Linked DNA regions of Ovis aries. The main gene of each other region encodes a partner of the protein of the gene in region 2 in a complex. Links are inferred from orthologs where the notes say so. Each region holds a gene or a part of one and is shown on either strand. Other genes may lie near its edges.

The links.
Region 1: the proteins of PTH2R (region 2) and PTH2 are in contact, whole or in part, in a cryo-EM structure (PDB 7F16), measured with the Homo sapiens proteins. The link is inferred for Ovis aries from reciprocal best matches to the Homo sapiens genes PTH2R and PTH2. Residues at the interface, in NP_005039.1 of Homo sapiens: Thr31, Ile32, Ile34, Gln37, Ile38, Asp68, Gly69, Leu70, Ile90, Tyr91, Asp92, Phe93, Met112, Lys117, Ala120, Tyr122, Leu126, Gln130, Pro131, Ser134, Lys137, Gln138, Phe141, Glu142, Tyr152, Arg190, Ile194, Lys197, Val201, Ile205; in NP_848544.1 of Homo sapiens: Ser62, Leu63, Ala64, Leu65, Ala66, Asp67, Asp68, Ala69, Ala70, Phe71, Arg72, Glu73, Arg74, Ala75, Arg76, Leu77, Ala79, Ala80, Leu81, Glu82, Arg83, Arg84, Trp86, Leu87, Tyr90, Met91, Lys93, Leu94, Leu95.

What each region holds. Positions count from the first base shown.
Region 1 is NC_056067.1:55,618,257-55,620,783, reverse strand, and holds PTH2 (tuberoinfundibular peptide of 39 residues), read left to right. Parts: upstream 1-1,157; coding exon 1,158-1,279; intron 1,280-1,777; coding exon 1,778-1,952; 3' UTR 1,953-1,990; downstream 1,991-2,527. UniProt on the Homo sapiens protein: Plays a role as a potent and selective agonist of PTH2R resulting in adenyl cyclase activation and intracellular calcium levels elevation. Induces protein kinase C beta activation, recruitment of beta-arrestin and PTH2R internalization.
Region 2 is NC_056055.1:210,573,759-210,577,993, forward strand, and holds the end of PTH2R (parathyroid hormone 2 receptor), read left to right. Parts: intron 1-1,218; coding exon 1,219-1,260; intron 1,261-2,488; coding exon 2,489-2,884; 3' UTR 2,885-3,676; downstream 3,677-4,235. UniProt on the Homo sapiens protein: This is a specific receptor for parathyroid hormone. The activity of this receptor is mediated by G proteins which activate adenylyl cyclase. PTH2R may be responsible for PTH effects in a number of physiological systems.

The DNA.
Region 1 (2,527 bases), on a different chromosome or scaffold from region 2:
AAGACCTCTCCCCTCAGATCCAGGAATCCAGGTTCCCAGACCCAGGCCTTGTTCCCCTCCTCTGGGGAACTAGGAGTCTCAGTTCCCATGTCCTGTCAATCAGAGACCCAGATTGCTGCTGCCTTTTGGGACTTCCCAACCTTTGCCTACCATCCCATCGTGAAGAGCTCACCCTGTTAAAAGCCAGTACTGAGGGGTGGGCCTTATCGTCACAGCACCCCCAAATTCCTCCCCGGGAAGGGCTCGGACACTTCAGGGTAGTCAGGGTCCTTGTCTGTCTTTTCCCCTTCTGTGCAGTGTCGCTAAGACTTTCCTGATTTTGCCTGTCTATACTTGCCTTCACATCCCACCACCACCCATTCCCTTTGCCTTCTCTTTCCTACCCCTGTCTCCCACCTCTCAGTCTTTCTGGTCTCTGCCTGCCTGGACTTGTCTCTGGATCTCTCTGCCCAGGCTGGCTGGCTGTCCTTCCATCTCCTTCTGTCTTTCCGAGTGCCGTTCCCTTGATCCTCCATCTCATAGCTGCTCTCTTGGTCCCTTTCCCCTCTCTTTTCTCTCTTCCTTCCCTTTTCCTTACGTCCTCTGTTGCTCCCATTCTCCCTCTCTTTCCTCTTCTCTGTCAGTCTTTGTCCTTCCCTCCCATGGTTGCTTCATCTCTTTGTGTCTCTGCATCTCCCCATCGGTCCCTCCTCTGTTCCTTCCCCTGTCTCTCTTTCTCTGTGTCTCTGGCTTCTGCTCTGATGGTCCTTCCGCCTGTCTCTATTTTTATCCCTCTGACACACCCCCTGTGTCCACTTCTCTGTCTGTCTGTCTCTCCCCCTCCCGATTCTCCTCAGGTCCCAGCTCTTGGTCCCAATTAGTGGGTGGCCGACAAGGCAGCCGCTGGCCCCCCACCCCCGGCTCCTCATTACCGCTGGCAGCTCCTAATGAGCCTGGGGTGGGGGTGACCCGGTGCCCCCGGCCCCCTGGTCTGCGTCACTGGCCGCTGCGGGGGCTGTGGAGGCGATATAAGGGGGCTGCCAGCCTCGCTGCCGGGAGCCCACTGCGCGGTAGGGCACCCTGCAAATTGGCTTTGGGGGTGGGTGGGTGGATGACGGGGTCTGGTTTCTGGGCCCAGACGCGGGCATCACTGAGCTCTTCTTGTCTCCCCGCAGGTGATGGAGGCCCGCCAGGTACCCAGGAGCCCCCGGGTGCGGCTGGTGCTGCTGCTCCTGCTTCTCGTGTCCTGGGGCCACCGCACGGCCTCAGGAGTCGCCCTGCCTCCCGCGGAGGTCTTCAGGTGAGCTGGACATCCAAGTCTCCCAGGGAAGGGTGGGGACTCGGATAGGTGGAAAGAGACCCAAAGAGAATGGGGAACAAAGACTCAGAAAGGGGAAATAGAGACCCAGAGAGGACAGAGGTGGGAGGTTAACAGGTAGGTAATCTGCAAAACAAAGAGATACAAGAGAATTCTGAGAAAGGCTTTGAGAGACTTGAAAGGAGTCGAAGCAGGAACGAGTTTGTTCCTTGAGCAACGTTTATTGGGTCTTTGGTGTGTGCCACGCGTGCGCCGAGCGCTGGGGCCGGACAGGGGCATCAGACTCGGTCTCTGTACTCAGGAGGCTCGGAACCTGGTGAAAACTGAGCCGAAGACCCACACAGAGCAAGAGACGGGGACAGAGACCGAGTCCCTTCGCAGCTGGTGCAGTCACAGGGCTTCGAGTTAGACCGCGGGGAGAACAGGCGGCGGGCCGCGGGCCGGGACCCACAGTAACCGCCTCTTTCCATCTCCCGGCAGACTCCACACCCCCGGCGGGGCTCGGGAGGGTCCGGCCGCTCCGCAGTCGCGGCGGAGCCTGGCGCTGGCGGACGACGCGGCCTTCCGGGAGCGCGCGCGGCTGCTGGCCGCCCTCGAGCGCCGCCACTGGCTGAACTCGTACATGCACAAGCTGCTGGTGCTGGACGCGCCCTGAGCGCCTGCTCGCCCCACCTCAATAAAGACCCTGCTGTGCCTCCCGACTGCGCCTCCTTCCTGCGCCTCGTGTGCGTGTGGTGGTGGTGGGGTGTGTGTGTGTGTGTGTGTGTGTGTGTGTGTGTGTACACGTGCAGGGGGCGGGCCCTGCGTCCGCTACGCTGACGTCTACCCCTCCGTCCCCTCTGTTCTCATCTTTCCCTCCACTCATTCTTTCTCCCCTCTGCCCCACCTCCTCTACACTACTGCCCCAGCTCTGCCCCTTGCTCCCACTCTGTGCCTTTGTCCCTCTCCACTCGCATACCTGCTCCCAACCCACCCTGAATCTCCATCCTCCCCTCTTCTCTCACTCTCTGTAACCTCCCTGGTCTCTGTCCCCCTCTGGGTCACTGGCCCTTCTCTGGATCTCTATAGCTCACTGGGTATCTGTCCTCCTCTCTCGGAGTCTCTATAATTCTCTTCCTTCCTCCTGGCTTCCCGGCCCTCTGGGGATTCTTCGTCTCCTTTATTCTTCTTTATGCCTAAAACTCTTCCTTTTCCTGAAAAATAAGGAATGCTTGGCAAATTTGTGTCATC
Region 2 (4,235 bases):
TGTGTGTGTGTATGGAAATCAGTGAAAACAAAAGACAGGATAGGCAGGTGAGGGGAAAAAAGGGAAGGGGAGAAAAGAAAGAGGAAGAGGTTGCTTCCATACATTTGATCTCAGTAGAAAGCACGACACTATCATCCCTCACATGGACGGCTACACACTCCTCCTAACTCTTCTTCCTGCTACTCATTTGCTGCCACCTCCTGCCTTCAACCTAGTCTTCATAGAATAGTCTGAAGACTCTTAAAGATAAATCTGACCATGTCACTTATCAGCTGAACATATCCAGAGGCTTCTCATTGCAGTCAGAATGAAATCCAAACACTGTTTCCTTGTGTGCACAGCCCTACGGTGCAGGGACCCTGCCCAGCTGTGGCCTCACCTCACACCATGTTCCATGCTGCCCACTAGGTCTGAGCCACACTGGCTCACCCACAGTTTCCGTTCCTCAGGTTCACCTCTGCCTCAGGGGCTGTACTTGCTGTTTTCTCTGCCTGGAATGCTCTTCCCTCTAATACTCATATTGTCTGGCTTCTTCGCACTCAAATCAGCTTAAATGTCACCCTCTCAGAGAGGTCTTCATCGAGTTCCCCCTCTGATAGATCTTCTCCACTCTTCTCTTCCAACACCACTTGTTTTGCCTGAAGAGTCTTTATCTCATCATTTTACATTCTTCTCTGTGGCTATTTGTTTATATTTTATTCATCTGTATTCTCTTCCAGAATATAAGCTGTAAGAGAACAGGGACTTTATCTGTCTTGATTAAATTGTTTATCTCTGTAACACTGAGCATTTCACAGTGTGTAAAGTCAACAAATATTTTTGAATGAGTGGGAAAAAAAGTTTGTGTTTTCGCTATAATATACCCTATGCCTACAGTTGTCAACATTCACAGTGTATAAATTTCACTTACCAGCTAGGGGATGTTCGGTGATTCTGAATGGCAAACATGAAATTAACATGATAAAAGTCAGTTATTCATGTATCCTGAAGTATTTTATTTATTTATTTGGTTAATTTGATACCAAGGAAAGATCTCAGACAAATTTCATGTATATTTAAGGATTTTGAAATATTAGGAGAGAATAATGTATAATTTTCTGGAGGAATCATTTAAAAAAACCCTGTTTTTCAACATATGCATTTTGACACAAGATGCTTTAGTGCTATAATCTTCATAATTAAAATTAATTAATTAAAACATTCTATTTTCTCTTCCAGGGTTTCTTTGTGTCTATCATCTACTGCTATTGCAATGGAGAGGTAAGTTTGAAGGAACCCCAGACCTCCTGTAGGTCTAACTCTGAGTATAAATTGCTATCACAATATGACCTGAATCTCTTTAGAATCTCCAGGGGTTACAGGAAAGAATGGGCAGGGAGAAAGAAGATATTTTCATCATAAATTATTTTGAGAAACCAAGAATTGATGTAAATAAGCCAAGGTCTTCCTCTTCCAGCACTTTTCAATGTCAGTTCAGTTGCAGACCTTGATGTCAGAAATCCAATTTGTTGGAATGCAGATTGATACTTGGAAGGACAGTGAACATCATATTCCAGTCAGTGCTTCAACTTACATTTAATTTCAAGTTCTGTAAGAAAATCAAATATAACTCTCTGGGAATAACCCATTAGAACATTGTGACATTTTTAAAACTACCTGATGGTGATGGGACAATTTCAGTTCATTTAGGAATTGCCTGGAGAGAAAGAATGGTACCAATCTTCTAGGTGACGTCAGCTTATCAGGTTTCTACTGCTTCCCATGGAACTCTCAAAAAGCTCCCTTCTGGAAAGTTGCAGTAGCAGAATGCAATCTTCAACAGCAAGAATGGAAACAAGAGCCCTACCCTGCTAAGAATGCCCTTGCAGTGCCCACTTTTCATAGTCCAGTCCTCCTCCCGGTTGCTCTCCTTCATTATGCTTGTGCAGAGTGATAGGTTTACAGTTCCATTCACAGATAAGCAGCTTCCATGCCCTTCCACAGCCTCAGCTGGCACTATGTATCCATATTGTTCCTCCAGCCCAGATCCCTTTTTCTCCCTCTCCCATGAGCCATTTATACTGGCTGCATTTCAACTTCTATTAAAGCACTAACCTTGGACAAATCTTTTTGCTTCTCTCTAAACCTCAGTTTGCTCATCTCCAGTAATAACACCTCTCAGGAAGAGGTTGAGAGAATACAGAGTTGAAAATATACATTTTCACTATATATGCACTACAGTACCACACATCTGGGGTTGGTTGAGTCCACCCATGTGAAACTCTAGATATAGGCTAACTGAGAATTCATAGGGAATTTTTCAGCTGCAGGTGGTGGGCACCCCTCATCCCTGTGTTGTTGAAGTGTCAACTGTATATGTAAAGTCCCTGGTATACAGTGGAAATTTAGTGATTATTACTATCAATGAAGTCAGGGCACATATCCATCCAATAAGGTTGCAGGGCCTCTGAAGGTTTTTGATGCATGAAATGGTCCTTGTGGCGTTTAGGTTCAGTCTGAGGTGAAGAAGTTGTGGAGTCGGTGGAATCTCTCCGCGGACTGGAAAAGGACGCCCCCGTGCGGCGGCCACAGATACGGCTCCGTGCTCACCACGTTGACGCACAGCACCAGCAGTCAGTCGCAGATGGCGGCCAGCACGCGCGTGGTGCTCATCTCAGGCAAAGCAGCCAAACAAGCCAGCCGACAGCCCGACAGCCACGTGACTTTACCTGGCTACGTCTGGAGTAACTCGGAGCAGGACTGCCTACCACAATTGATCCATGAAGAGACCAAGGAAAGTGGCGGGAGGCAGGGAGATGAGATTCTAATGGAGGAGTCTTCCAGGCCATTAGAATTTAACACAGGTCTGGAAGGAACCCAAGGAGAAACCGAGGATGCTCTGTGAATCCATATCTGTGTCTTTGAAGAGCTGGTTCATCTCGTTGTGTCAAAGGAGCTAGGCCTGTGAGCAGGCAGGGCTCCGGTGTTCACAGCCCATTTTCAGGCGCCAAGAATTGACTCCTGTAAATACTAAAGCCACAAAAGGAGAAAGTCAGTGGAGCAGTTTATTACCTTATTTTGGCATCAAATTCTTTTCGAATTGATGTGCAGTACTTGCTCTGTGATGTTCATTCTTCTGCTCTTTTTGGGTAGAGAAACATTTCAGTTGCTTGGTTCTAGTTTTCTCTTGTAAATATCACTGTAAATATGATCAAGATCATTTGGTGTGTGACATTTGCCTTTAAACAAATCAGTATTCTCTTTTCCACTTTAAGGGACTTCTATCATTCCATTCATTTTGTCTGTGCATAGGAACAATTAGGGTCTAAAAATGTACATTGAAAGATTAAAGAGTGCAGAACAAGTACACACTGGAAGATAAATTGTCTGGATTTTGTTAAAATAATAAATGTGTGAGAAACTTGTTTCATTCTAGGAAAAAGGGAAATTATTCAAAAAAGAATATTGCACATATTCCTCCTTTTGAATGTCCCCTCTGTGACCAGCCAAATCTCAAGTCTTCACTCTCTTGTAAGCCTTAACACAAGGTTTTCTTGGTCAGTGAGCTTATGTCTGCAAACAGATTTTGTTTGTAATCATTTATAGTGATGGTCACACTGAATTTATTAGTTTTTCTTTGTTTTATTACTGTATTCCCAATGGCATGTGGGATAAATTAAAGTTTGTTTTAAAAATACATTTTGAGTCACTTTTTAAAATGTTCTCTTAGCATCTAACTTTGTTTACAGGAATCAGTCAAATGTCCCTTCTTCAAACCTACAGAGATCAGCATGTAGCCCCAGAACTTCACTGAGCTTGACAAGTCAGTATATTGTAGCAGTGAGATATTTATTGTGTGCATGTTGGGTACACATATCCTGCTAGGTTTTTACACACATTAACCTATTTAATCCTCACCACAAAGTTTATGGAGTAAATCTTATTGCTGTCCTGCTTTTTACAAATGACTGTGACTCATGGAAGTAGATTGACTTGCCCAAAGTCACACAACTAGTGATTGAGAGAACATGGTTTCAGACCCAGATCTACTGACTTTAAGCATCTTTTTCTGTCCCTGTTGACCATCTGCATATCTTCTTTGGAGAAATGTTGGTTTAGGTCCTCTGCCCATTTTTTTTGATTGATTGTTTATTTTCTGATACTGAGCTGTCTGAGCTATTTGCATATTTTAGAAATTAATCCCTTGTTGGTCAAATCCTTCACAAATATTTTTCCCCATTCTGTAGGTTGTTTTT